7 linked regions of the Oryctolagus cuniculus genome follow. The protein of the gene in region 1 purifies or fractionates together with the protein of each later gene. This does not show direct contact. Links are inferred from orthologs where the notes say so. Each region holds a gene or a part of one and is shown in the gene's direction. Other genes may lie near its edges. The genes, in order: NAPA, VAMP3, STX16, STX8, SCFD1, STX18 and BET1.

Region 1 (4,153 bases):
TCCAGGTGCACTGGTTGCCTATTGCTTTACATCCGACAGCCTAAAACACATGACAGCTTGGTACCGGTGCTGCTTGGACAGGCACGGGACCGAAATTGCCTGTGGCGATCCAGACAGACGTCCGCCGAGGCTGTGGTCCGCACACAGCGGCCGCCACAAGCAGCGGCTCGGGAAAGCGCTTCCTGGAAGAGAGCTGGGCGAGAGGTCGGCCTGCCGTGCCCTGGTCAGTCAACCCCAGCCCCGCACAGCACTGCGCGTGCACACGCCGGTCCCATGCTGGGCGGGGCTCTGGAAAGAAATGGACTCCTGTGCCTCGCAGGCTCAGAATGGGGATCGCGACAGGGCGGGCCCTGCAACCTGACTCTGTAAAGCAGCTTTTCAGAATAGGTTCCCAAAACTCCAGACCCCACAGCTTCCCCACGCTTGCCATTAGGCTGGTACCTCTGATGCAGTGAACAAGCCGATCTGGGCACCGTGTGGCCGGCCAGCGTCTGTGCCCTGACTTCTTGAGGTCAATCCGACGCCACCCTGCACTGAGCAGCCGTGGCCCCCTCGGCTCTTACTAGGGAAGGGGAGCAGTACTAAAAATCAAGATCAAGACACCAGGCAATGCTGGAACCGCCGGCAGGCAGACAGCTTGACTTGCGGCCAGCGGCCAGGTCGAGCTCCCTGCCGGACGGCTGGCCGGGGAAGCCGCCAGGACGGAGGGCCCACGGCGAGAGGGGCCCCCCGCGGCGCCAGCAGCGCCCCACGCTCTGCGCGGCCCCGCGGCTCAGACTGGCGAGTCCGGCCCCTGGGAAACAAGCTCCGGGGGCGACGCCTCTCGTTCTCTGCCCCGTCCCTGCGTCCCCCTCTCGCCTGAATCTCGCACGCGCGGCTGCAGGCGCTCCCATCTGTCAAGCACTGCACGGGCCTCCCGCGCCAGTTTCAGCATCGGCCGGCAGAGGGCGCAAGAGAAAGCAGAACGCTCCCCTTTTTTCCCACTGAGGCCTTTTCGAGTGAAAGGAACCACGCGAGACAAGGCTTAGAGGCGGGACTAAAACACCGAGCAAGAGAACTGTCAAACCCAGGCGTGCGCCGGAAGTTGTCACGTGACAGCCGCCGCTCCAGCTGACCCGTGCCCAACTTCCGCAAGGTGGGGCGGACCCGAGCAGAGAGCGGCTGCTGATTGGTGGAAAGGCAAATACTGCGGCAGCACTTTGGGGGTGGGTCCCTGACGGTGAGGGCTACGATTGGCTAGTGCGGCGTCACGAGGTGGTGGGTGCGGAGCATCCGGAAGAGAGGCGCAAAACAGGTGGCTACGCATGCGTCGAGAGTCACGGGGCGGTGCGCGGCGGCCTGCCGGGGCGTGGCCAGCGGGGAGCGCGCCGCGCTACGAGGTCCCTGATTGGCCAGTGCCAGTCACCTGGTGCCCGGCCTCGGGCGGCGCGCGCCGGTGCGACGTCAACGCAGCCAGCTAAGCTCCCGGGACCTGTGTACCGCGGCCCGGCCGGGCCTGAGTCCTCCCAGGGCCCGGGTCGGGCGGTTCGCTGAGTTCGCTCTGCGGCCGCCATGGATAACTCGGGGAAGGAAGCGGAGGCGATGGCGCTGCTCGCCGAGGCGGAGCGCAAAGTGAAGAACTCGCAGTCCTTCTTCTCAGGCCTGTTCGGGTAGGAACCAGGCCGAAAGGTCGGCCGGGACCTGGGCTGGGGGCCGCAGGGGTCACGGCCTGGGGTGGCGGGGGAGGCGCGGTGCGGGGGCCGGTTTCCAGGGAGAGGGCCGAAGGGGCTTGGGCTGGGGACCCACGGGCCCGGGCGACCACCTCTTGAGGCGGGGAAGGGGATCCAGGCTGAAGACGGGCTCAGAGGCCAGCGGAGACCTGGGCGAAGGGGATACGGGCAGTGGCCTTGGCGGGGACCAGCCGCGGGGGCCAGGTTCCAAAGCCTTCTCAAGCCCTCGGGGGATCTGTTTGAGGGGTCGCGCCGGGGCCTGGGGCTGGGGCCACCTGCCCAAGGGGCTGACCTTCCCGAGCCCAGGCAGGGGGCTGCTGCGTAGCCCTTCGGTAAGGACAGGGCTCGCACAGGGCCTGAGGGCTTGGGGACAGGACTAGCGGCTGCCATGCGGCAGGCGCCCACGGAAGTTGGCGGCAGCTCAGGGCCGGCCGCACTGAGGGGCTTTGGGGTGCGGCTGCCGCTCAGCCCGCGACCTGGGTGAGTTTTAATCTCCCCGACGAAGGGGTAGCCAGTGAGAGCTGTCTCCTCCCCGTCGATAGCCGGGCGGCGTTGGGCTGGCGGATGGCGAGCGCTCCGAAGTGGTGGCTGGCAGTGTTGGGAGTGCCCTGCAAGGAAAGAGGTGTGCGGTGATGGGGGCTGGTAGAGAGCCAGGCGGGAGCCGGGGAGCGGCTCAGGAGCCGAAAGGGGCAGGGAAGGCCTGCGGACCGCGGGGCTTAGCGGGGTCAGGGCACGGGCCGGGGAGGGGTAGCGGAGGTCAGCGGGAAGCTTGGGGGGTCAGGGCACGGGGCCGGGGAGGGGTGGCGGAGGTCAGCGGGAAACTTGGGGGGGTCAGGGCACGGGGCCGGGGAGGGGTGGCAGAGGTCAGCGGGAAGCTTGGGGGGTCAGGGCACGGGGAGGGGTAGCGGAGGTCAGTGGGAAGCTTGGGGGGTCAGGGCACGGGGCCGGGGAGGGGTAGCGGAGGTCAGCTGGAAGCTTGGGGGGTCAGAGCCGGGGAGGGGTAGCGGAGGTCAGCGGGAAGCTTGGGGGGTCAGGGCACGGGGCTGGGGAGGGGTGGCGGAGGTCAGCGGGAAGCTTGGGGGGTCAGGGCACGGGGCCGGGGAGGGGTAGCGGAGGTCAGCTGGAACCTTGGGGGGTCAGGGCCCAGGAGGGGTAGCGGAGGTCAGCTGGAAGCTTGGGGGGTCAGGGCCGGGGAGGGGTAGCGGAGGTCAGCTGGAAGCTTGGGGGGTCAGAGCCGGGGAGGGGTAGCGGAGGTCAGTTGGAAGCTTGGGGGTCAGGGCCGGGGAGGGGTAGCGGAGGTCAGCTGGAACCTTGGGGGATCAGGGCCGGGGAGGGGTAGCAGAGGTCAGCTGGAACCTTGGGGGGTCAGGGCCAGGGAGGGGTAGCAGAGGTCAGGGCACGGGGGCCGGGGAGGGGTAGTGGAGGTCAGCGGGAAGCCGCTGAGGCCGAGCTTAGGACGGGGAATGGGACTGGGGTTTGCTGCAAGCCGGGGAAGGGGGTCTGGGAGGCGGGGGGGGGAGGGTCTTTCCAGGAGACTGAGCCTGCCCTTGCTGCTGGAGGTGGGATAACAGCAAAGGAAAACGTCCGGGTCCTCATGGGTTTTGTTGTAGACTGAGTGGAGACCGTGTGTGTGCGCATGCGTGTGTGTAATTCAAGTGCGCTGTTCTGAGGGTGGCTGGTGGTGTCTGGTGCCCTTGGCCCAGGGTTAGGGCCCCGCTGGGCTGCACCGGGGGGGGGGCGGGCAGCTAAGCCAGCCTGGGACAGGCTGCTGGGTTGGGATGGGGAGCGCGACACTTGGCGTGGACTAGTGAGGCTGGGTTGTTGGTTGTAAGGTGGGCTGGGTGATGTCCTTCAAAGCCTGCAGGACTCGGGCGGACGGCGCCTGGCATGAGTGCTGTGAGCAAAGGCCTCACCTGGTGACAGGGACGGCCAGGGGTGGTCTCCCTCGGGCGTGATGGGCCATCGGGGGAGCCGTGTGCTGCGGAGCTGTGAGGCGCGGCCTGTGAAGGTTTAGTGCAGGGGGTTGGGGCTGGGCCAAGGTGAGGCCACGAGCGAGCGAGGGCCTGGACTTGAGCCGAGCCCGAGAGGAGAGTGCTGGGTCTGAGCAGCGACTGGGGACGCTGCCGCCCGTGCTTCCTGACGCCGGGCCTGGCGCTTCCGTCCTCGCCAAAGCCCCGTGGATAGCGGAGGCCTAGAGACATCGCCGTAGGTGCTGGAGCAGCATGCGCTGCCCGGCCTGGCGCTCACTCTGCCCTGCCGTGCCGCAGCGGCTGCTCCAGGGCCAGGGCCAGGGCCGAGCCCCCAGAGCTCTGCAGTGGGGAGGGCGCGGCACACCAGGTCTCGGGGAGCTGCCGCCCTCTAGCCCCTCCCCCCCAGTCTTCCACGGGAGAAAGGAAGCAGCTTTGGGGCCTGCGCTGCCCCGACGCTGGCACCCCGCATCGGGG
Region 2 (4,072 bases), on another chromosome or scaffold:
ACTTACACAGAATTGGGAGGGCTCTTACGGAGGGGATGGGAAGTAGGTTCCGACCTACCAGTCCAACTGTGAATCCTCGGTGAGGGACAAACGCACTTCCACTGAATCGAAGCTTTTCTGACCGCTTTCTCTTGGTTGTGAACCTTAATTTCGAATATAAGATGATAGGTAAGCGCAGCTTTCTTGGATAATCTGAATTCCCAAGTGCCAGGAGTAGGATTTCATTATAAAATTAATAGCTAATCTTATTCTGTCTCCTGAAGATTTAATTGCTATTCTCGTTACCCATTCGAAATCAGCTGTACTGTGTGAACGAAATAAAAGACAATAACACGAACCCCCTCTCTGGCTGCACGGTCGCTTCTGGCAGTTCCACACAGTAGTTGGCGCCCAACGGGGGGTCCCTGAGACTTGCATGTAAAACTAGTCTAGATGTCTTCTTTTTTGTAAGTTTTATTTTTGTAATTGTGCATGTAAAGCATCATTGAATCAATGGATCTGTTGAAGAACTCAGCTGCTGGAAACCATGCAAAATGTTTTGAATTGCCCTTAAAATATGGAAAATGTTTTCTGAATGCTTTATATTCTTTCTGCTGTAAATTAAAAATGAAGAAAATTTCCCCATACTATCCGTGTTTTGCTTTAACTTGACCCGTTCCCGGAATCCAAGGGGGTGAGCACGTGCCGGTTCCCAATGCCAACCCGTGATCCCGAACAGCGCTGGGCGGACGCCTTCCTGAGCGAGAGTCAGTCCTGCAGACGCCCAGCTTTGCAGTTGAAGTCCCAAGCCCTGGGCCAGTGTCCCGGCCAGCGGCCGTCCGCGCCGGCACCGTCCCACGCCCGTAGCGGCCCCCGCCGGCTCCTCGAGGCCCCCGGCCCCGCCGGCTGCCGCGTGCCCGGCGCGTGCCCAGCGCGGCCGGCCCGGCCCGACCCCCGACCCCAACCCGGGGCGCGCGCTCGCTCCTTCCTCACGTGACAGACGCGGCCAAGCCGGCACTGCGTTCCCCACTCCCACCTCACACTCCGCCTCGACCCGGGCGCCCCTCAGCGCGGCCGGCGGCGGGCGCTGACAGACACCGGTCACAAACGAAAACACCCGGAAGAACGTACAGAGCCCCGCCCTCGCCCAGACAGTCCCTGTCCCGTACCGCCTGCTCCCCCTGACCGCGTCCCCAGCGGCCAGGCCCCCCCACGCCGCCATTGCCAGTGGCCCGGGGCGGCCGCCACAGGCCCCGCCGACGGCGTTAGGACGCAGACGGCGCCTCGCGCTGGCCCCGCCCACGTGGGCGCCCACTTCCGGCGCGCCCGGCCGCGCCCGATGACGTCATTGCCGCCGCGCCACCCCACCCATCCCCGAGCCTAGGTCCTGGGCTGCGCAGCTCGGAGGACTCTCGCCCCGCCGTCCGCGCCTCCGCCGCTGCCAAAATGTGAGTGACGCGACGGGGCGCGGGGCGGCTTCGGGGCCCGCAGGCGGCGGCCCGCGGCGGGAGCCGTCGCACGGCCCGGTGGCTGCCTGCCGGTCGCCCCTCCGCCGCGGGCCGAGCCCGTGAGGGCGTTGAGTGCGTTCCGAGGCCTGCGGCGGGCAGCGCCCGCGGGAGTGCGGGCCGTGGCAGGGCCTAGCTGTCGCCGCGGCGCCGCCGGCCGTCCCCAGGGCCCTGCCGCCGGCGGGCTTCCGGGAGGAAGTGGCTGCGCCCAGCCCTGCAGCCCGGCCCTGCCCCGCGAGGTCCCCAAGAGCAGCGCCGGCGACCGCGGGGCCGGGAGCGGCGGCCTCGGGACACGGCAGCCTGGCCGGGGCCTTGCTGCTCCTGAGCGAATGCGTTCCTGGGGCTGCGGCCCTGGAGACCGCTGTTTCCAGATTCGGTTGTCCAGCATCGCAGGGCCCCGGCAGTCTCGCCTCCAGCCCCTCGTTGCAACCCCTGCGGGGAAAACCAGCCCAGCGCCCGAGGGGCGCGCCCGTGGGACGTCCCTGGGGAGGCCGCTGTGCTGGTCAGCAGAGCCCCGCGGACCCCCGGAGCCGGTGAATGCCCCCTGGAGTGACTGCTAAACCTCGTGTTGAGGGCATCGGCAGTGTCCCCCCCACCCCAAAGAGTTAGGATCCAAGGAGCCCGCGCGGGGCGTGGGCCCTCTGCGTGCTCTCGCGGACACTCCACGCAGAACAGCGTGGGATCTGCCTTATTCCCCGGCTGCTGACGCGCGGCAGGTTTTAAATAACTGATGTTGTGTGGCGAGGCAGGTGCTCCACGCATTATTATTATTATTATCATTTTTGGACAGGCAGAGTGGACAGTGAGAGAGAGACAGAGAGAAAGGTCTTCCTTTTCCGTTGGTTCACCCTCCAATGGCCGCCGCGGCCGGCGCGCTGCAGCCAGTGCACCGCGCTGATCCGAAGGCAGGAGCCAGGTGCTTCTCCTGGTCTCCCATGGGGTGCAGGGCCCAAGCACCCGTGCCATCCTCCACTGCCTTCCCGGGCCACAGCAGAGAGCTGGCCTGGAAGAGGGACAACCGGGACAGAACCCGGCGCCCCGACCGGGACTAGAACCCGGAGTGCCGGCGCCGCAGGCGGAGGATTAGCCTAGTGAGCCGCGGCGCCAGCACTCCAGGCATTCTTGAACACGGAGGAGAGAATTCTAGGACCCAGGAGCCCGTGGTTTGTCAGGAGAGAGGTGACTGGTGACTGTCCGGCGCCAGCCAAGCCCTAGGGGAGCTCCGGGCCGCAGTGGCCAAGAGAGGGAGACTTGGAGGATGAGTCGGTCGCTGAGAGGATGCGATGCTTCCTCGCCATTCTCGAACATTCCACGGCATCCCCCCCCCCCCCCCCCCGCCCGGTGTTCCTACGCTGTGTCTGTAAATGAGTCGCTATTAGGAGACACCGGAACTCTTATTCCTCTGAAAGCATTGTTGCCGCAGTGGAAGGGCCCGGGGAGTCCTGAGTGCCGAGAGCGGCCTGTGTGTGTGCCCGGCTGGGGGTCGCTGCTGTGTACCAGACTCTACCGAGCCTTCCTCCTGGACTCCGGTCCCTCGGATGTGGGCAAATTGGTAATCTTGGAGGAACTGTTCAGGTCTACAGGCAGGGTTCTCTTTCGCTTTGGTTGTGATGTGAGCGTTGTCCGCACTGGAGTCCTGGGGAATGGGATCGCATCCTAAAGCTGACAGTACTGTATTGGGATTCCTGACCGACTCATGCTGTGCCTTTCCGCGTTCCAGGTCCACGGGTGCACCTGCAGGTTCCAGCGCTGCTGCCGGCAGCAGAAGACTTCAGCAGACGCAGAACCAAGTGGATGAGGTATCGCTCGAAATGCTGGGAACGTAGATTTAAACAAACATGGCAGCGTGCCGAAGATAATTCTGTTTAGAAAAACTCTCGTAAAGGTGTGAATGGAACATCAGTGTTGAGTTATCATAAAGGTAGTGAATCTGCCCTAATCTAAGCCAAAGTCAGACTCTCCGGGAACCTATATAGAATCATGTACATAAAACAGTCTCCCTGAGGGCATGCCCCAAAAGTGTCTTATTAAAAAAAGTAACAGAACTTTAAGGATTAGGTCTAAGATTGCTCATGCCAGGACCAGTCCTTCTGATGGATATACATGTATTTTTAAATCAAAACGCTCTGTCCTTTAGCCTGACCTACACATTACCCAGTCTGAGCAAGTCTCTGTAGAATTCATCTGTGACAGTTGCCCATTGACACACAGAAGGCAGTCTCTGGCAAACTGCAGCTCAACACATCCGTATTTATAGAATTCTTTTTTTTAAAAAAAAGATTTATTTATTTATTTATTTGAAAGTCAGAGTTAATACACAGAGAAGACGAGGCAGAAAGGGAGACAGAAGCCAGGAGCTTCTTCCGGGTCTCCCACATGGGTGCAGAGGCCCAAGCACTTGGGCCATCTTCTGCTGCTTTCCCAGGCCACAGCGGAGAGCTGGATCGGAAGTGGAGCGGCTGGGATACAAACTGGTGCCCTTATGGGATGTTGGCACTGCAGATGGTGGCTTTACGCTTAGGCCACAGTGCCAGTTCCCTAGAATTCTTGAGCAATAGATGTTCACAGAATCTTTTTTTTTTTTTTTT
Region 3 (4,061 bases), on another chromosome or scaffold:
ACATACTTCTCGCAGCGCTTGCGCCACGCCCGGGGCTCCCCGAATTGCCTGCTCTGCCTCCGGGGACGCTGTCCCCGTGCCCGGCAACCCCCAGCCCCGCAGCCGCGGCTGCTCGGGTGGCGGCGTCCTGCCAGGGCGCACGTGGCCGGCTCCCGCGCTCGGAGCTCGCCCTGCCCGGCTCGCCGGCGCGCTCAGCTCCCTCGTTCCCGCATTGTGCAGTCAGAAACCCTTTTCGCTCTGCTTCGAGAGCCTGCGGGGCGCTTTCCCCTGCCGAGGAAACGCACGTGGGTGGGGTCCGGGGCGCCCCCTGCGTGAGCCCAGGGAACGGACACGTGTGCGCCAGGCGCGGTCCACGCGGGGCACGAGGGCACCCGGCGCGGCGAGGCTCGGGTGTGGACCCCCCTGGCGACGCCAGCCCGCAGCCCCGGGAGCCCCGCGGGCCCCAGAACGCGGGACCCCGGGCCGAGGGCGCGGGGCGCGGGGCGCGGGGCCGGGGCCCGCTCAGCGCACACGGCGGTGTTCGGGGCGGTGGGTGACAGAGTTTTCGGGTGACTCTCCCCCTGGGGAGTCCACAGCCCCGCAGTGGCCCCTGCGGAGAGCGGCGGCTGGGGAGCGCGGGCGACCCCCGCGACCCCCGCCTGCCGCTGGCGGCGCCGCCCGGGCGACCTGGACGCCCGGAGCTCCCGCTTCACAATTTTTTCCTTTTTTTTTCCCCCCCTCTCCTGGTTGTTTTTCAGATACATCTTTTTTTTTTTTTTTTTTTTTCAGAGTTGAAAAAAAAAAGCCCTCCACAACAGAACAGCGCGAGCGCGAGCCGCCGCCCGCAGCGAGCGTGCTCGGCCTGCAGAGGCCGGCGCCTCCCGCCGCCCCCGCCCCCGCGCCCGCGCCGCGCCGCGCGGCTGTGCTCTGCTGGTGCCCAAGTTCGCCTGCCCAGGAACTTGGCACTCGCCATTGCGGGGCCACGGCCCTGGGCAGCGGCCTGCAGCTCGGGGGCCACGCGCCCCGGGCTGAGCGCTGCCCCCCGGGCCCGCTCCCAGTGCCTGAGCCCCGCGGGGGCCGGGAAAACGGGGTGCCCCGGCCATGCCCCGGGAGAGGGCGGAGCGCGCCCGCGCCCGCGCCCGCGCCCGCGCCCGGGTGTGGGCAGGGAGCTCCCGCGCCCGGAACGTTGCGAGCAAGGCTTGCGAGCGTCGCAGGGGGGCACTCGCGAGGGACGGACAGGAAGAGGGCCAGGGGGGACGCCAGAGCCCGGGACCACGGCACGGAAGCGGCCCGGGGCTGAGCTCGCAGTCAGATCCGGGGATGGAGGGAGCTGGAGGAGAGGAGTGAGGAGGCCGGGGAGGGTGGCCCTGCTGTCCTCCTGGAGGCCAGCGGCCTCCTCGCGGCGGGGGAGCAGGCCGCGCAGGAAGGAGAGGGGTCAGGAGGTCGCCGAGCCGCAGCAGGCTCAGCGCAGGCCGAGAAGGGAGCTGCAGGCGCTGTGTAGCCGAGGGCTGGGGTTGGCCAAGGAGGGCCGAGGCCGGGCCTCTGGCGGGGGCAGCGAGGCAGGGCCCGGCCCCGGGGCGCGGCCTAGACGCCGGAGCGCGCGGCCAGGGGCAGCCCGGGGGTCAAAGGCCGTTGGGGGTCTCGGGGTCTCAGGGAGTCGAGGGAGGCAGGGGGCTTCAGGTGCTGCCAGTCCCGAGCCGGATTGGCGAGTTATGCGCTTGTAGATCCAGGGTTGGATTGGGGTGGGGGTCTCAGGGACGGCGGCTGGCCAGGCGAGGATTGGGGGGATTCAAGTGCTTGGAGATCGAAGCCAGGTCTTGGGTAGGGGGAGTCAGACAATTGGCAAGCCTAGGCGGTTATCTGGGGAGGGGTCTTCGCGCCTCGTCGGCTGGAGGCCTGCGGCCTGGCCCAGGGAGGCCGCTGGCGCGAGGGCGGGCCGGCTGGGCCGGGCCTGGAGGCGGGCGGGGGGCCCTGAGCGGGGTCACACAGGGTGAGCCATGGCCACCAGGCGTTTAACCGACGCTTTCTTGTTGTTGCGGAATAATTCCATCCAAAACCGGCAGCTGTTAGCCGAGCAAGTGAGTAGTCACACCACCTCCAGCCCTCTGCATTCACGTAGCATTGCTGCGGTGAGTCTCCCGGGCACGCGCGCCGCGCGCCCCCGCGCCCCGCCCGCCCGCCTGTCTGTCTCTGTCTGTCTCTCTGTCTGTCAGCCGCGCCGACCAGTCGCGAGCGGCCCCGGCCCGGCCAGGGGGCGTCGCCTTCGCCGGGCCCCGCCCCCGCCGACGGCCGGGCCCCGCCCCCGCCCGACGGCCGGGCCTGCGGGAGGCCCGCGGGGCGTGGGGAGGGGCGCGGACGGGGCTCCCCCTCGGGAAGGCCGTGGGCGTGGGCGTGCGGCTGCGAGGAGACGGCCCTGCCCTCAAGGCCCGCGGTTCCTCGGCGCCGCCGGGCTTTGTGCGGGTCGCCCCCTCCCCAGGGCTCGCGGTGCGCGGCCGGAGGCCTCGCGTGTCTCCCCGCACGTCGGAAGGAGGCCCGCCGCGGCGCTGCGTCCGCACCTCCCGCGCGAGCCCGGGCCGAGGCGTGGAGGCCGCGTGAGGAACGCGCGCCGTGGGCTTCGGCGAGGCCCCGGAGCCCGCGGGTTCAGAGCCGAGGCGCGGTGTAGACGGTGCGCCCGGGCCGCGCCGCGAGTCAGATGCTTGTTGGAAGGGATTGCGTGGGCGCATATTTAAACTGCGTGTCTGCACAACCCAGTAGAGCGGGTCGGACTCCGCGCAGCCGCGTGCACGGCCGGGAACGCTGCATCGGGAGCACGGCCCGAGCTCGCGTGGGTTCCTGAAGACTTGGAGGGTGGGCCGCCCCGCCGCTGGGGGCGCGCCCCGTGCCCCTCAGTGTGTTGCAAGCCTTCCTAGATGATCAGAGCCGTCGGATCGCCGAGAATAACCCGGTTTCAAAAGACTGTCTGCCGCCCGCAGCGTCAGTGTGCCTGGTTTTTAGAAGTTAAGTTAGCGGGCGCATTTACGTGTTTTAATATTTTAATGGTGCGCGCCGAGGCACCGCATCCCCAGACCCCAGAGCGCCCGGGGAGCCTGCGGGCGGCTTCCTGCAGAAGCCCTTCTGCCTGTGCACCCGCTGCAGGAAGATGAAAAATCACCAAATCACCGCGAGAGGCCGGAGCACTGGGGCAGAGGGCAGGGCCTGGCCGCTCCGCTCTCCCGGAGCCGGCAGGTGCACGCGTCGCGGCTGTGGAACGTTGGCTGAGTGGCTCCCAGAAGGCCCCGCCGCACTCCCGAGGTTCATCCTGCGGCAGGTCACACAGAAGTCACACCTCGAGTGTGAATGTAGAGCGGCCGTTAGGTGGTAATGCAGCAGTCAGACCAACCGCAGTTGATTACACGTGTGGGTCTTCCTAGCGATGGCACTGAAGGGCTTGGTGGTGTAGTATCAAGAAATCTGTTTCCTATTTAAGTACTTAGCCCCCCTCCAATGAAAGAAGCAAATGAAGCAAGATACTAGTAATTCTTAAGCCTAGTGACAACTATCGCTAGGACATTATATCATTTTACGTACTTTTTCTGTGTGTTTGGAAAATTATAAAAATTTATATTTTGTCACAGTAAAGTAAAACAGCACAATTTGTAAACATCCATGCTAACTTAGGTAATTAACAAGGCAGTAACTAAACTTGAGAATTTAAATTAATTTTAAAACTCATAACTTGAAATTTTAAATTTCCAATTAGAAGAAAAAGCTGTAGAAAGTTGATTTTCGTGTATTTGCTAGACATAGCTAAAAAGAAATCACACCTAAAATAATTGGAAAATTTCTGAAATTTCACATCCTTATTTGAGGAAAACACTGCAAGAATTGGCTGAAAAGTGGCGTGTGTGTCCATCAAACATCTCGGCACAAAACAGCCCTACAGCCATTGCCATTCAAAAAATGAAGGCCCGTTTCTTTTTCTTGTTTGAGGAAAAAACTTGAAATTGGCTTTAGTGATGAGGGTTAGTGTGTCGCTCCGGCCAGTGTGTCAGAAGTAAACACATTCAAGGACAGCCAGCGGAAGTGCAGGCAGCCCCGGCCCG
Region 4 (4,276 bases), on another chromosome or scaffold:
GTGTTTGTGGAGTTGCAGGGCCCCGTGCATGGCTTGCCCTCTGCAAACCAATGCAGACCCCTGAGTTTTTGTTCTGTGGCCTGGCACCCAGCTCCAACGACAGCCAGCACCTCTCGGATGTGTGGAGGGCCCACTCCCCCTCTGAACCTGTTCCAGTGGAGAATCGAGAGCTAAGTCCTGGAATGTGCTTACACTGTAAATACAGATTTTTCTGCATCTATATTATCACAAGTTTCAAGCTTTCAGGCATTACCAAACACTTTGTAAAAAGGATTTGCTTTTCCTAAAATTTAGTCCACTGCTTTTTCACATCCCTCTAAACAAAAGCAAAAAATATATATATGCATGTATGTATATATATATATATATTCAGCCCTTTTTTCTCCCCCTTCAAGGCAGAAGGCAGACACAGCAGAGTGGCAAGGCCAATCTCTGATAAAGCTCTAATCCCGCTCCAGCTCGCCCCCACCCCTTCCTTCTGAGACCCTCACCATGGACACACGTAGCGTCCCCAGATCCCCCATCGGCAGCACGGGGCTCGGAAGTTCGCTTGGTTATAGTGGGTCCCGGAGCTACGCACGCAGCGGCCGGCGGTCACGCAGGGGTCCAGCTTCGTGGGCTGGGAAGCGCTGTCCTAGGGGGCCGGCCACTCCGACCCACCCGCCAGCCCCCCAGGAGCTGTGGGAGCCCTGGGCGGGAGAGGCTGCAGTCACACGGACCAGGGGTTCCCGCACCAGCAGCCCCGCACGCTCACCATTGAAGCCGATCACGGCGGCCAGCTCCAGCTCGGCCACGTCGGCCTTGGGCGACATTCGGTCGTCCATCTCCGGGACACACGTCTCAGCTCTCCCTCGGCTCCCTCCAGTCTCAGCCCCAGCGGGTGCGGCGTCGCCTGGTCGTTATGGCAACGAGCGCGCGCATGCGCGCCGGGTCCACGCCGGTGCGCTCACCAGGTGTGCGGAGCTGGGGAGTTGGTTCGCCCCCTTGCAAGGCACAGGGGGCTTCTTTTCTCTATTTCTCTGCAAATTTAGGGGGCAGGGGAGGGGGGACACCAAATGCACAGAATGAATTCCCTTTTCCCTTCTGCAAAGAACCTATGCTCAACTCCCCCTCCCCCATGGCATTTAACAAACGGAGGTTCGTTTCTGACGGTAGACGCTATAAAATAATATAAAATTGATGGAGGCGGGGCTGTTTGAAGCAGGATCACAAAACTTGAAGATTTTAAGAGCAGCTTTGGAATACTTACATATCAACCCCCTTAGAATCATAAATCAGTCTAACAAACTTATACAGTGTGCAATTATCATCACAGTTCTTTTTGCCTTGTTGAAAGCTAACAAAAGTTTTTTCTATTTATTTTCGTTTTTCCGTAAAAGGCAGACAGAGAAGCAGACACAGAGAGAGCTCCCATCTCCCGGTTCTCTCCCCAGGCGGCCACAACAGCCAGGGCTGGGCCAGACGGAAGCCAAAGCCGGGAGCCCAGCCCGAGTCTCCCACGAGACAGGTAGGGACCCAAGCTGAGCCCGAAGCTGGGAGCAGGCAGGGCGGGAGCTGGAGCCCCAGGCCCCGCGGTGCGGGCCGCGGGTGCGTTTCACTGCGTCTCCACCGCGTGCCCGCCTTCCGCCCCAGACACGGAGTAACCTCCCCGAGTACCAGCCAGACAGACGTCCGCAGATGCTCGCGCCGTCCCGAGAGAAGCCTTCCGTTCAGCCACATCCGTGCCGGCGCCCCGCAGGCCGGCCGCGCCCCCCACCCCCACCCCACACGGCGCCCAGGGGCGCTCTGTCCTCCCCGAGTCCTGCTGCAGCGTCCGGAGGTCCTCCTGGGTGTTTGCGTTCGCGTCCTGAACAGCACCGCGGGGACTGAGCCACACGGGCCGCCGTAGTCAGCTGCGGCGAGCAGGAAGTGTCCGAGCGGCGGCTGGCAGACTGCACGATGGCCCCAGACCCCTGGTGCGTCCCGCGCGAGGGTGGGTGGGAGTGCGGCGGCCGAAGTTCGGGGCAGCCAGGCTTCCGGGCGGCAGCCGGGCGCTGGGCCTCGGGGCTTGGAGGGCTTTGGTGGCGGTGGGGGGAGTGAGACGAGGGACGGCCAGGTCCTTTTCCTGGCTGGGGGCGCCTCTGCCACCCTTGGTCCTTTCCAAGGCTGGCGGGGAAGGAGACCTGGAGGACCCCGATGGGGGCGCTGAGGGTCGGCGCTCTGGGTGATGGAGCCGGCTCGCGCGGGCTTGCCCCGGCGGCTGTGACAGTGGGCGGGGAGTGCCCGTTTTTGTGCAATGTCGATCCATGTGGCGAGCCCTCCGAGATCCCGGGTGTGGAAAGCTGGGCTCCGGTTAGGAACCGCTGACGGGGGAGAAGGGAGGCGGGCGGGAGTAGCACCCAAAGGTCTCGGACGCCCATCAGGGAACTCTCGGGACCCCGGGAGGGCAAGGAGGCACTTGTTGGTGCGGCATCTCCTGAGTTCGGAGCACGCAGGACGCGAGCTGGCCCCCGGGGGACCGAGCCCAAGGACTTTTACTGCCGTGGCTCTGTCTCACCTTAGCGAGACTTCCACGGGGACCAGGCAGTGAGCCCAGCGGGATGCATCCAAGTCGGAAGCCTCCCGGAGAGGCAGACCGGAGGAACTGGTGCAAGTGGGGTCTTGGATGCACGATTCAGGGAACAGTCGATCAAAGGGCAGGGACAAAACCCATCTGAAGGCCGGGTTTGCAATCCTGTCTGGTGTGCTCCCGATAAACCAAAGAAGCCAGCCGTCAGAGGGTGGGGTAGGGAACTTCCTTCTGTCCTCCGCAAGGATGGGATTGGCGCTTTGGTCTTGCCAGGGTGGCTTTTGGGGAGAAGTCTGCGTGCGTTTTGTACTCTCTTAAAGGGACCTGAGCTAACTGCATATTCGTCCGTAGCGGTGTATGTCTTTGGTTGTGTTTCTAGTAGAGTTTATGATTGTTTAAATTGCCATCTGCATATAAGGAAAATGGATTCCAAGGTCCAAGTTAGGCTTACCTGCCATCTAGGTTGTTCAGGCCAGTTGCTTAATGTCACTCTAATTTTTGTCCCATCTAATTGTAACATTTGTATACAACCTTAATACATTTAAAGAATACCAAATATTTGCAGAAAAGACAATAAATAACATCTTTAACACTGGCATTTGGAAACAGCCATTATTAAAAAATTTTTACACTGAATTTTTTTTAAGCTTGATTTATTTATTTGAGAGGTAGAGTTACAGAGAGAGGGAGAGACTGAGAGAAAGGTCTTCCATCCACTGGCTCACTCCCCAAGTGGCCACAAAGGCCGAAGCTGCATTGCTCTGAAGCCAGGAGCCAGGAGCTTCTTCCAGGTCTCTCATACAGGTGCAGGGGCCCAAAGACCTGGACCATCTTCCACTGATTTCCCAGGCCATTAGCAGAGAGCTGGATCAGAAGTGGTGCAGCTGGGACTCAAACCGGCGCCCATAAGGGATGCTGGTGCCACGGGTGGAGGCTTAACTTACTCTGCCATGGAGCCGGCCCCCTGCAGTGAATTTATTTCTTTAAACTCTACAGTGTTTTATAAAAGGGGGCATTTCTCCATATTATTGAAGATTTTCTGAACACATGACTTACAGCCCCTAATAATGCCTGATATGAGTAACCATTATTTTTCTCTTAATATTAGGTTTTTGTTTTTAGTTTTGTGCAGGCTATCCCATTGTTCCATCTCTCTCTCTCTTATTTATTTTTTTAATTTATTTAAAAAGGCAGAGTGACAGAGAGATGACAGGGAGATCTTCCATCTGCTGGTACACTCCCCCAAGTAGCCACAACAGCCAGGGCTTGGCCAGGCAAAAGCCGGGAGCCAGCACCTCATCCTGGTCTCCCACGTGGGTGGCAGGGCCTGAGCACTTGGGGTTATCACCTCCTGCCCTTAGGGGAGGCTGGATGTAAAGTAGAATCACACTGGCCCTCCAGTATGGGTGCCAACATGGCAGGGGTGGCTGAACTGCTGTACTTTGTGCCATTCTTGGTTTCCTTGGGCTGTTTTCCTAGAAGCAGAACTCTTGGACTGTAGATCTGTTTTTAAGGCCCTTGGTATATGTTATCTTGCAGAATCCCCCCCCCCCCCCCGGGAGGCTGACTCCCAGGGTTTACATACAAATAGCAGAAAAATACATTTCTCTCCGGGCTGGAGCTGTGGTGTAGCAGGTAAAGCTACCCCCTTTAGCACTGGCATCCTTTATGGGAGCCTGTTCGAATCCTGACTGCTGTACTTCCAATCCAGCTCTGTGCTGTGGCCTG
Region 5 (3,500 bases), on another chromosome or scaffold:
ACTCATTCTATTTATAGGACCTTCGAAATCAGCTTTATGAATCATATTATTTAAATTTTATTTCTGCTATTTCAAGAAGTAAACTGGAAGATATTGCAAATGCAGCCTTAGCGGCTAGTGCAGTAACACAAGTAGCCAAGGTAAGGGATTGGATTGGTTGGTGCTATTTTGTTAATATAAAAGTTAGTGTTCCAAATCCTATTGACATGAATGTCTTGTTTACAAATGACCTGAACAAGCTAAGAAATGTTTAGACTCAACACTTTTGTAGAATGCTGATAATGTAAATTATCTGTAACTTAAACTAGCCAAAACTAAAGGGGCCTAGTGTTTATGAAGTAGAAAGATAAAAATTAAAAGCAGAATCAATTTTTGCTTTAGGCTGGGATTTTTATGATCTTTTCAGCTCATTTCAGAAATAGTTTGATGGTGTGTTGTCAAAAATTGTGTTCAAAGTATGTTGACATTATTTTATCTGTAATCACTATAGTGACCATCCTGTCTATAAATTTTTTCTTCCTTAGTAAAGAGGATCCAAAGAGGCTATGTTGCATATTGTAAGAAAAAAGGAATTCCTTGCAGGCTAGCAACTCCATATCATAGTGACTTTTCATTAGGTTCAGCTATAAATAAATTTTCAAAATGTAATCCTGGTATAGCTTTATAGTGCCTTTAGTTTCTTGAATTTGGACAAGACATACATGAAAATTCTATGGAACTATATGGAGCAAGTAACAGAGTAAATATGCATTTATTTTCCACCTTTTTCCCAGCTGACAGGTTTTCTATTCTTATATTTAGATGGTCCACTACTACTTCTGATTAATTCTTGAGGTGTATGCCTTAATGTTCTTGATCAAGACTTATTAATTTCACATAAAATAAAATAACAAATAATTTTTAGTTTAAGTCAATTTCAAATACTTTTCTTCATTTCCTCCTAATTTGCACTTGCAAAGAACTGATGTAACTTTCTTGTTATATTTATGAAGGTTGAGGTAATAACTTTTCATAGGAAAGTGTGATTTAAAAGTTGTAGTTTTTCTTCAAAATGCCTGTTCCCATCACAATCACAATTTAGATCCTTGTAGCTGCCTAAATTTCGTTTTCTGAAAATGTTATTCTTCATGGCATTTATTGCCCAAAAGCTTGTTTTCAGTTGTCTTTTTCATATGCCTATCCTTTTGTTTAATTACATAATCTGCTATGCAGTAGTTTTCTGTTACTGAATTTATAATTTTATTATAATATCTTCTGCTGTTACTAGATTATATCAAATAAAATTTCCTTTTGATGTGGCCATATTACAAAATAGATTTGTAAACCTTTTCTTTTGTTTCTAGGTTTTTGATCAGTATCTCAACTTTATTACTTTGGAAGATGATATGTTTGTATTATGTAATCAAAATAAGGAGCTTGTTTCATATCGTGGTATGTAAAAATAAGAATATTACAATTCGTTATTACCGAAATGAAGAAAAAAGTAGTGAATAGGATTGGCATACTTCAGAGCAACTTAGTTTACAATAGTAAAGCTGTAAAAGTTTTTAAAAAGCATTCAAAGAAAATGTGTGAATTTTCTCACAAATAAGCAACATTTAATAAACCTGTAAGCTGAAAAAGCACCAATTCTTTTTGTGTATTTTAAAGATTTATATGTTTATTTATTTGAAAGGCAGAGTTCCAGATGAAAGGAACGGACAGAAATCTGTAATCCGGTAATTCGCTTCCCAATTGGCTGTAAAAGCTGTGGCTGGGGCAGGCTGAAGCCAGGAGTTCCATCTGAGCTGGAATTCCATCTGAGTCTCCTACATGGGTGGCAGATACCAAGTGCTTGGGCCATGGGCCATCTTCTGTCTTCCCAGGTGAATTATCCGGGAGCTGGATGGGAAGCAGAGCAGTAAGGACTCAAACCAGCACTCGCTTGGGATGCAGGTGTTGCAGGCAGTAGGTTAACCCATTGCACCACAATGCCAGCCCCATCTAGTTCTCTTTTAGGTGTCCCCACAACAACATGTATGAAGGTCCACTCATGGCGTGTAAGACAGTATTTTATAGCAGGAGTAAGTTAATTGTCTAGTACTTTGACAGAATTGCAGAATTTTCTCAAATCTGTTGAATCCTTGGATAAAAGAGCCAAGAACCTTTAAAAGCTTCCCGAGAGACTACTTTTTCTTCTCCTGTATTTCCAGGGTGATTTTTACACCCACTTAAGTGTGGTAACTACTTTTTCACAGTCTTACATTAGAAAATAAATTCATGGGGCCAGTGCTGTGGCACAGTAGGTTGAGCCTGCCCTTGGAACAGCATCCCATATAGGAGTGCTGGTTGGAGTTCAGCTGCTTTGCTTCTGATCCAGCTCCCTGCTAATGGACCTGGGAAGGCAGCAGAATATGGCCCAAGTACTTGGGCCCCTGCTATTGTTTTGGGAGACCTAGATAGAGTTCTAGGCTACTGGCTTCAGTCTGACCTAGCACTGGGTATTGCTGACATTTGAAGAGTGAACCAGCAGGTAGATAGAAGATTTGTCTGTCTCTGTCTCTCACTCTCTCTCTCACTGTGCCTTTCAAATAAATAAATCGTTTTATTAAAAAACAAGCAGTCTTTACAAAAAAGAAATAAATTCATTAATCTTATAATGCAAAGAGAATGTTATGTGATAGTGGTTTTGCCATAATTAACTTACTTTGTCATTTTCTGGCCCTATAAACCCTTTTATAACAGCATCAGTAGTTTCTTGGAGGGTGGGCATTTACTCCATTAAGACTCCTGTGTCCTGTATCGGAGTACCTGGTTTTGATTCCTGGCTCTGGCTTCTAGTTCCAGGTTCCTGTTGTGGACTCTGGGGCCAGCAGGATGGCTCGAGTACTTGGGAGATAAGGATTGAGTTCCTAGTTCCCAGCTTCCAGCTTCAGTCCCAGCCATTGCTGGTATTTGGGGAGTGGACCAGGCAATAAAGGTGTCTGTCAACACCCCTTCCAGTCTCCCTCTCTGCCTCGCAAATGATGAGTGAACTTTTAAAAATTTTCTTGAGGCCATGTAATTTAGTGTTTTATGAATAAAATTATAGAATACAATATTTTCCCTTTTACAATAGCCAAGTTTTGCATGGCTGACTTTTCAATTTTTTTCAAATTACTACTCCCCTAGTATTGAAGTAGTTTGTTTGGCTGTGTTGTTTTGGTTTTGTTTTTTGTTTTTTGTTTTTTGAGGTAGTATAATTTTCAACAGGTACTTGTTCATTTAAAAAAATATTAAAGCAAAAATTTCACTGGGGTATTATAAATGTTATCAAACTGCATATTTGTTTAATAGTTTTAAGAGTTTAATAGAAATAAAACAAATTGTGGTCACTTTCTCTCCCCTTGCCTGTGTCATGTCAGCCATTAACAGGCCAGATATCACGGACACGGAGATGGAAACTGTGATGGACACTATTGTTGACAGCCTCTTCTGCTTTTTTGTTACACTGGGTAAGTTTTCCAGTCTTCCCGGTATTT
Region 6 (4,076 bases), on another chromosome or scaffold:
GATGAAACAGTAATTTCACTTTGGTGCAAAAAAACTTTGAGGGGCCGGCACTGTGTTGTAGAAGGCTACACCTTTGCCTGCAGTGCTGGCATCCCATATGGGCACCGGTTTGAGTCCCAGCTGCTTCTCTTCTGATCCAGCTCCCTGCTATGGCCTGGGAAAGCAGCGGAAGATGGCCCAAACGCTTGGGCCCCTGCACCCATGTGGGAGACCTGGATGGAGTTCCAGGCTCCTGGCTTCAGCCTGGCCCAGCACCCACCATTACAGTTATTTTAGGATTGAACCAGCGGATGGAAGACCTTTCTTGTCTGTCTCTCCCTCTCACTGTCTGTAACTCTGCCTTGCAAATAAATAAATAAAATCTTTAACAATTTTTGAAATGCACGCACACCTTTTTTCATAATACACATTTCCACGGACTTTCGTCATACCTGCGTATACAACTGATGAGAAAACAAGAGTGAAAACGAAATAACATCTTAGAATTATGAAAATAATTTATCTTGCTGTCCATTGAAACTGCTGTTTCAATACACATTCCATTTGTGCCTCCTATTTGAGGGGGAAAAACAACAACAAAAAACCATCTGGGGCTGGCGCTGTGGCATAGCTGGTAAAGCCGCTGCCTGCAGTGCCAGCATCCCATATGGGTGCAGGTTCGAGTCCCGGCTGCTCCACTTCCAATCCCGCTCTCTGCTATGGCCTGGGAAAGCAGTGGAAGATGGCCCAAGTGCTTGGGCCCCTGCGCCTGCATGGGAGATCGGGAGGAAGCTCCTGGCTTCAGATCGGCTCAGCTCCAGCCACTGCAGCCATTTGGGGAGTGAACCAGCGGATGGAAGACCTCTCTCTCTCTCTTTCTCTCTCCTCTCTCTCTCTCTGCCTCTCCTTCTCTCTGTATAACTCTGACTTTCAAATAAATAAATAACCCTTAAAAAAAAAAAAGATCCAACCAGTGAGATCTTGAAACTGAACCATGACCCAATAAAGCCTCATACACTGACTTTCAGGAAAAGCTGACCCGACGCTACGCTGAAAAACCGTACATTAAGGGTGAACGGAACCCCGCGGCAGGAGTCCCTCTTTGAGCTGATAAATTTCAAACCTGCTCGGGGGACACCGCTCCCAGGCTCCTCCCGCCACAAATAGCAAGAGTGATGGGAAAACACCACCAACTGCATGGACGGCCCCTCTCTGGGTCCAGCAACGTCAAAACACTCTCCACGCGTCGTCTCGGTTAACCCCACACCAGCCCCAGGCAGGCGCGGAGGAGCCTCGCAGGGGAGCGGGTGGCCGGGCCGAGGGGCGAGGGGCGAGGGCTCCCTGCCTGTCCGGCTCAAGACCCGAGGTCAAGGCTGGCGCGTCCCCGCGTCCGGCCACCGAACCGCCCACGCCCCACCAGCGGAGGAGCCGGGACAAGGCGCCGAGCCTTTCGGCTTCCTCATCTCGCTCCCGGGATCCACACCCCGCAGCGTAACTGGAGCTCAGCGGGGTTCTCTGAGCTAAAGGGGCTCCGATGAGCTCGTGGTGGGCACGGGGACGCACACGCCCCCAGGCCCAGGCCGGAACCTTTCTCCTCTCCTCGCGATCGACAGGCGGAGGCCGGAACCTTTCTTCTCGCGTCGTCGTCGCCGGGCGGAGGCGTGCGCCGCCGGAACGGTCCTCCAGCGGCCGCGGTCGCCGGCTGCTGACGTGAGCGGAGCGGGCCGAGTGTAGGGGCCGGTGGCTGTTGCTGGTCGCTATGGCGGTGGACATCACGCTGCTATTCCGGGCCAGCGTCAAGACCGTGAAGACGCGGAACAAGGCGCTGGGAGTGGCAGTCGGCGGCGGGGTCGAGGGCAGCCGCGACGAGCTCTTCCGCCGGACCCCCCGGCCCAAGGGTGACTTCTCCAACCGGGCCCGCGAAGTGGTGAGCTGGTTGCTATGGAAACGGCGGGGGGCGGACCCGCGATGGGGGACCCCAGACCTCAAGTCGCTGTCAGCGGGAAGGGGTCCCGAGCGGGGAGCAGGGAGGGGTGGCCCCAGGGCGCCGACAGCCGTCTTGGGAAGGGAGCAGCCTTGTTTTGCTGGGGTGGGGGGGGGTGGCCCTAGAGGCGCCGTCCGCGGGGCTCCAGGGTTGCTTCGGGAGGTGACGAGTTCGCCGTCACTCAGAGCTGGACGCGGGCGAAGCCTCCCACGGGGCCTCGCTGGCGGCCGCAGCGTCCTCGTGGGTGGGTGGCGAGCGTCCCGCGGCGCTCGCTCTCGGTGCTGCCCGTCGCGGGAGGCAGGGCTCGGTGGCTGCGGAGCGCGGTTAGGATCGTCTCTGGCGAGCAGCGTGTGCTCCCACGCGTGGCCGCGACCCTCTGCGTGCTCCGTCGTGCAGCCACGCGTCTCCCTGAGAGCGGGAGCCGTCTGTCGACGGGCTCGGCTCAGTAAAGGTTCGCTGGATGAATGGCTGCCGGCGTAAGCGGCGAGGGTGTGTTGGCCTGGTTCACTCTGTAAGCTTGGCGCCCAAAGCTCATACGGTTCCATGTACCCTCTTGGAGAAATAAAGTTAGAAAACGGAGGGTCAGGAGTTTGGAGGGCGCAAGGGAGGGTCCCTGACGCAGACTTTCCTTAAGGTCGCGGTGAACCGCCTGTCTTGGCTCACACCCAGCACCTCGCGGTCGAGGTATTTTCAAATGCATGGGTAGCGCATCTGTTAGCGAGGGGCAGCTTGCAGCAGCTTTTCAAACATCGGAAGGGGGATTGGAGCGGATGGACGGACGCACGCGGTCGGCAGACGTCTGTGTTGCGCCTGCCTCCCGACCAGCGCTGTACAGAGCGGTGGGAAGGGAAGGGAGCGGCAGAGGAGCGAGGCGTGCGCGCCTGGCCCAGCGCTAGCCCTGCAGGTGTTCCGCGGAGCACAGAGAGCGCTCACTGCCACCTGTGCGCCTGCGGAGGCTTCCGGGGCGGTGACGCGCCTGCAGCAGGTCTCCGGGGAAGAGGGGTTGGCGAGCAGAGAAGGTGGGGAAGGGCGTCTTGGCTGAGAGCGGTTTGCAGAGGTGTGCCCTTGGCTGGTTCAGTGGACACCGGGCTGCAGTGGCGGGCAGGGCTCTTGAAGGGCCTTAGGCGATGGTGACCGCTCTCTGGAGTTTGAACCTGGCCTCTAGGCAGTCAGCCGCCGTGTGACTGAGCAGGCACTCGGGAAGGAGCCGGGGACAGAGCTGCCCTCTGAACCCTGCCGCTGTCAGCCAGCTGAGGTTAGTGAGCAGGGTTTGTTACCTCCCTTTACTTCCTGGGACAATGGTCTCCTCTGCCCCCCCCCCCCAACAAAAGACTTGCACAGAATGACAGTGGTCCCTGATACATAGCTGATTAGGGTGCAGGGAGGTGCGGTCTCAGGTCGAAAGGGAAGAAAGGGAAGTAGGACGTCCTCCCCTCCCAGGGCTCCCAGATTCCTCTCGTGGGGCCCTGGCAGGATAGCAGTTTGGACTTTTGGTGGCTCTAAGTTTGAAATCACTGATTTCTTACTCACACTGAGCTAGTTTGCTTGGGCCCTGCTCAGGCATAGGGGTTTGGGGATGGTAGAGGCAAGAAGTGTGGCTGGGTCGTCGGGCCCTGTGGAGAACCCAGTGATCCCGGGGCCTCTCCTTGGGCGGTGAGAATGCCCTCTAGGCTGTGTGTTAATGCCCCTCAGGGGTGGTAGCAGGACCGTGGAGCGCCGAGTTCCCTGTCAGTAGCAGAAAATGGACAGGTGACCGCTTGTCATAGGTGTTTGAGAACTTTGTCCATTTGTCAGACGCTTAGCTTGTGTGTCCCTGAAAGTTTGTTTTTGTTTTAAAGATTTATTCATTCAAAAGGCAGAGAGAGAGAGAGAGCGCGCGCGTGCGAGAGCGAGCTTCCATCTGCTGCTTTGCTCCCCGAATGGCCACTCCCACAATGGCTGGGGCTGGGCAAGGCTGAAGCCAGGAGCCTGGAGCTTCTTTCGGGTCTCCCACTCAGGGCAGGGGCAGGGGCAGGGGCAGGAGTCCAAGCACTCGGGCCACCTTCTGCTGTTTCCCAGTTGTAAGCTGAATTGGAAGTGGAACAGCTGAAGTTCAAACTCGTGCTCACGTGGG
Region 7 (4,040 bases), on another chromosome or scaffold:
CTGGAACACTTGAAAGACCAGTTCCGGGAATTCCCCTCCACCTGCTGCTCCCTAATCCCACCCCCGCCTCTAGCCCTCCTAAAATATAAACAGGCCAGGACCCCCAGGACGGGGGGTCAGGGCCTCCTGCCACGTGTTCCATCAATGTGCAGGAGGGCAGTTGGTCATTCACCTCTTCTAATTTATTTTCTCTGAATAAATTCAGTCTGGCTGTAAATTCATTCACTGCCTCCTCTCTATTCTGCACCTCTTTTCCTAACATTTATGGTGCCCCGTGTGAGGAGGCACCAATCTGCAACTCTTTTCCTAACAATTATAAAAACTTATTTTTGTGTTTTAAGAAAGCAACTTTAAGGCAGAAACTGAAGTCACAGCTACATCACTGTCACAATGGGAAACCGAGGAAACAGGACATGATGAAGATTCAGAGACCTCTAGCCGGGAGACCATTACCTTGTCACACATCAGCAACATCAGAACGCAAACACCAGCGGACTCCGAGCATTTCCTGCGTCCCAGATGTCTTCAAAAACCATTGCTGCAGAGTCTCCTCAGGGTACCTCATCCTGTGAGATAACACGAAATTCTCACTTGACCCAGGCAGCAGCACCAACACACTCCTCACCACACCCTACCCCAAGCACTGAAAAACCCCAGTCGGCACATTGCTATATGTAAGGCAGTATTCAGCACCACGTGTCTAAGGGATTCAGGCGTGCTCCCTAACCCCAACGATGCTTCTAGAAGGGAGCCGAGGGAGCAGCAGGGAGCCGGCTCGCTGGGGGCTCCGAGAGACCCCTGCTGCCTTAGCCCAGCACGAGTCTCCCCCCCTGAGTGTGACCAAGCACAAATCAGTTAGCCTCTGCTGCCCCGCCAGTGGGTCTCGGACTACTTGTTTGCAAGACGAGAAACTTGGACGAAGTTCTCTCAGACTTCCCTGAACTAACTCTGCAGGTAACAGTGAGTACCAGTATGAATCAGGAAAGGTAAGTCAACCACCTCTCGTGGGCCGGGAGAAGCTGAGCTATTGTGTTAAATGTAGGGACCTGTAGGCAGCTAATCCCACGGCCCTAGCATACGGGGTCACGGTACCGAACAGCGAGTTTCAGGGTCCGGAACAGGAAGCCAAAGCGGATGTCGCCCCTCTTCCGGAAGTCCCGCCCACTCCAGGAAGCGAGTCCCCATCGCTCCTCCAGCCATGCCCTTTACGACAACAGCGAACTACTTTTCCCAGAATGCCATTCAACTCTCCTCGCGGAGCACCAATGGGCGCCCGGGTTGACGCCATCAGTCGGCGCGGTGTACCAGGCTTCAGTGATGTCGTGGCGCTTGGGGTGAAGAAGTTGGTGCTTCGCGGCGCCCTGGGACTGAAGACGCGGTCCGGGTGACCTCTGGCCCTTTCCTAACTTCTCTACCCCCGCCTGCCTTTTTCCTCCCTCTTCTGGCGGGATGAGGCGTGCAGGCCTGGGTAAGAAGAGGTCCGAGGTGCGAAGTGGGGAGCCCCAGAGCCGGCCTTGGTCGGCGCGGGAGAAAATCGCCCTGGTGTCCTGTCACTCGGCATCTGGTCCAGAAACGGCGTGTGTGGAGGGGAGCCATGCAGGCGGTGCCTAGTGGAAGCACGTCATTTGTCCTAGATCTTACGGGGGTATCCTTAGGTTTGGTCTCCGGACCCGAGTCTTGGAGAGTAGCATAGGACTGGGGTGCGGTATATGCAGGTGCCAGCTCAGTCGTCGGACTGTGTGCTGTGTGGTGGCCTGGCCTCTCTGCTGTTTCTGCTTTCCTGCTGCCTCTGCCTCTTAGAAGGGAGATACGAAGAGTGGGGTTGCATGCTAAGCGCTTCCACAGTGATTATGTGAGTCGGCTAGCAGTGAGTGACAAAGGTACATGTACACGTCGTTACCTTACAGGCCTTGGGGTGTAAGGTCGGGGTCAAAGGCAGTGTGCCTGGAGCATTTCTTATCTGAACCTCTTCCACTGGTTAGCAGCTGTCGGGACTACCTCTTATGGTTCTGAAGCTCTGTACTAGGAGATGGTTAAACACGAGGAGGAGGAGGAGAAAGACGAGAAAGAACCCTGCTCTATCAGTGCAGCGTGATTGAGAATATATGTGAGCATTGGCGAAAGATGACTGTCTCTGCCAGCCGTGGTAATAACTTGGCAAAAACGAAAACAGGGCTTACGAAAAGTGTCAACTTTAAGGTCAATGAAAGTTGTCAGTGTGTCAGTGTTCTTTCTTAGTGCAGTTTTTGTGAATCTGGTTGGAGAAAGCCAGGTAAATTGAAGACAGAAAAGAATGTTGATCAAGTTTAGTTTTCACCAGCCTATGTGTTTTCTCAGTGTCTTTAGGTTGTATACCTGAATGAGCTCTAGCTATATAGTTGTTTTGTTACTTTCTTGGTGCTCCCCACAGCTGGGAAGTAGGAAAATGTGCAAAGGTAAATTATGGTACAAGGTGGCAGCTATACATCCAAACACAAGATAATGTTCTGCAGATAATGTCTCAGAAATTGCAGAGATGGTGACCTTGAAGTAGACCATGAATAATGAAGTTAGGAAAGATGAGTTTCAGGTGAGAGGATCACTAAAAAAGAAAAGAAAAAACAAAGAGCATAGAACTAGGATTATGTAGCTAAGGAATTATGACTCAACCAATTTGATTGAACCAAGAAACATGAGACCACATTGTGGAGATTGCATTATAGGCCAAGGAGTTTAGATTTCCTAAATTGCCCTTGAGGCCCACTTATTTTTTGCACTGCACTCTCCCTGGTTAAGTTGCAGGAAGGGGACTTGAGAAGTAATTGTTCTCAGTCCTGATAGCACATCGATTAAGGAACTGTTGCTATAATTTACATTGTTATGAAGTGACGGTTTTTTTTAAAAAAACTTGAAGTGCCAGTGTGAAATGACCTGCAATTTTAGATTTGGAATAATAATGAATTTGATAGATATTCATGTGAAGAATATTTGTGTTGGTGGATGATGTTTTTTGCTTTTTTTTTTTTTTTTCAAATATTTATTTATTTGACAGGCAGGGTGACAGATCTTTTGTTTGCTAGTTTACTCCCCAGATGGCCTCAACAGCTAAAACTGGGCTAAACTAAAGCCAGGAGTCAGGAACTCCATCTGGGTCTCCTACATGGATGGCAGTTTGGCTCCTCCCCCACTGCCTTTCCAGCCACATTAGTAGGGAGCTGCTTTGGGAGCAGAGTAGCCAGGACTTGAACAGGCATCTGATAAGGGATGCCCAGCATGGCAAGCAGTGGCCTAATTTGCTACACCATGAGTCCATCCCTGGGGGAGGGTGATAGCTGAGAGAAGATAAAACTCTAATAGAAATATGCACTGAAAGATTTCCAGACAAGAAATAAAATGAGAATTTCATTTTAAATAGATGGAACAGGGACAGGTATTTGACCTAAGTAGTTAAGCCACTGGTTGGGGCAACTTTGTTGAAATGCTTGGTTTCTTGTCCCGGCTCTGCCGCCAGTTCCAGCTTCCTGCCAGCGCAAACCCTGGGAAGGTAGCAGGTGACTGCTTGAGTAGTTGGGTCCCTGGCATCCTTGGGGGAGCCCTGGATCTAGTCTCCAGTTCTTGACTTCCGCCTGGCTCAGCCCTGCTGTTCATTTGGGGGCACAGACTGGCCTAAGGGAGCTCTCTGTCTCTTTGCTTCTCAAAATTTTTTTAATGAATAAATGAAGCAATATAAAAGAAATCTAAAACTAAAATTAATGTATGTGAAAAGACCCAAACAAAGGACATATAGTAAGTAGCTATTCATTTAGAACTTGAAGAAGTTCTAGAATTTCTTGAAGTTACAAAGTGATTGAATCCAACCAGTCAGTAATTACTTATTGGGCAATGTTATATACTTTGGCTCTTAAACATATAAAATAAGTAGAAGATGTTTCCATTTCCTTAAGGATGTTGATCATTATTATAGATTGCACAGACTATTCATTAATAAAGTTGCATTTTTCAAGACAATGATTTTAGTTGTTGAGTGGGGGGAAAATGAGCCCAGTCTTTAAATTCATAAC

The links.
Region 2: the proteins of NAPA (region 1) and VAMP3 purify together in Homo sapiens (affinity purification with mass spectrometry; 3 studies listed by BioGRID and IntAct, with this or other methods). This does not show direct contact. The link is inferred for Oryctolagus cuniculus from reciprocal best matches to the Homo sapiens genes NAPA and VAMP3.
Region 3: the proteins of NAPA (region 1) and STX16 purify together in Homo sapiens (affinity purification with mass spectrometry; 4 studies listed by BioGRID and IntAct, with this or other methods). This does not show direct contact. The link is inferred for Oryctolagus cuniculus from reciprocal best matches to the Homo sapiens genes NAPA and STX16.
Region 4: the proteins of NAPA (region 1) and STX8 purify together in Homo sapiens (affinity purification with mass spectrometry; 4 studies listed by BioGRID and IntAct, with this or other methods). This does not show direct contact. The link is inferred for Oryctolagus cuniculus from reciprocal best matches to the Homo sapiens genes NAPA and STX8.
Region 5: the proteins of NAPA (region 1) and SCFD1 purify together in Homo sapiens (affinity purification with mass spectrometry; 3 studies listed by BioGRID and IntAct, with this or other methods). This does not show direct contact. The link is inferred for Oryctolagus cuniculus from reciprocal best matches to the Homo sapiens genes NAPA and SCFD1.
Region 6: the proteins of NAPA (region 1) and STX18 purify together in Homo sapiens (affinity purification with mass spectrometry; 4 studies listed by BioGRID and IntAct, with this or other methods). This does not show direct contact. The link is inferred for Oryctolagus cuniculus from reciprocal best matches to the Homo sapiens genes NAPA and STX18.
Region 7: the proteins of NAPA (region 1) and BET1 purify together in Homo sapiens (affinity purification with mass spectrometry; 5 studies listed by BioGRID and IntAct, with this or other methods). This does not show direct contact. The link is inferred for Oryctolagus cuniculus from reciprocal best matches to the Homo sapiens genes NAPA and BET1.

What each region holds. Positions count from the first base shown.
Region 1 is NC_091449.1:10,127,469-10,131,621, forward strand, and holds the start of NAPA (alpha-soluble NSF attachment protein), read left to right. Parts: upstream 1-1,353; 5' UTR 1,354-1,551; coding exon 1,552-1,649; intron 1,650-4,153. UniProt on the Homo sapiens protein: Required for vesicular transport between the endoplasmic reticulum and the Golgi apparatus. Together with GNA12 promotes CDH5 localization to plasma membrane.
Region 2 is NC_091438.1:159,935,339-159,939,410, reverse strand, and holds the start of VAMP3 (vesicle-associated membrane protein 3), read left to right. Parts: upstream 1-1,272; 5' UTR 1,273-1,425; coding exon 1,426-1,427; intron 1,428-3,204; coding exon 3,205-3,283; intron 3,284-4,072. UniProt on the Homo sapiens protein: SNARE involved in vesicular transport from the late endosomes to the trans-Golgi network.
Region 3 is NC_091442.1:3,594,825-3,598,885, reverse strand, and holds the start of STX16 (syntaxin-16), read left to right. Parts: upstream 1-1,261; 5' UTR 1,262-1,976; coding exon 1,977-2,108; intron 2,109-4,061. UniProt on the Homo sapiens protein: SNARE involved in vesicular transport from the late endosomes to the trans-Golgi network.
Region 4 is NC_091448.1:53,885,301-53,889,576, reverse strand, and holds the start of STX8 (syntaxin-8), read left to right. Parts: upstream 1-1,476; 5' UTR 1,477-1,938; coding exon 1,939-1,955; intron 1,956-4,276. Other genes in the region: CFAP52 (cilia- and flagella-associated protein 52), read right to left, coding at 755-824. UniProt on the Homo sapiens protein: Vesicle trafficking protein that functions in the early secretory pathway, possibly by mediating retrograde transport from cis-Golgi membranes to the ER.
Region 5 is NC_091443.1:44,656,594-44,660,093, reverse strand, and holds part of SCFD1 (sec1 family domain-containing protein 1), read left to right. Parts: intron 1-17; coding exon 18-140; intron 141-1,343; coding exon 1,344-1,431; intron 1,432-3,383; coding exon 3,384-3,473; intron 3,474-3,500. UniProt on the Homo sapiens protein: Plays a role in SNARE-pin assembly and Golgi-to-ER retrograde transport via its interaction with COG4. Involved in vesicular transport between the endoplasmic reticulum and the Golgi.
Region 6 is NC_091433.1:4,626,896-4,630,971, forward strand, and holds the start of STX18 (syntaxin-18), read left to right. Parts: upstream 1-1,276; 5' UTR 1,277-1,738; coding exon 1,739-1,906; intron 1,907-4,076. UniProt on the Homo sapiens protein: Syntaxin that may be involved in targeting and fusion of Golgi-derived retrograde transport vesicles with the ER.
Region 7 is NC_091447.1:41,915,647-41,919,686, forward strand, and holds the start of BET1 (BET1 homolog), read left to right. Parts: upstream 1-1,240; 5' UTR 1,241-1,449; coding exon 1,450-1,468; intron 1,469-4,040. UniProt on the Homo sapiens protein: Required for vesicular transport from the ER to the Golgi complex. Functions as a SNARE involved in the docking process of ER-derived vesicles with the cis-Golgi membrane.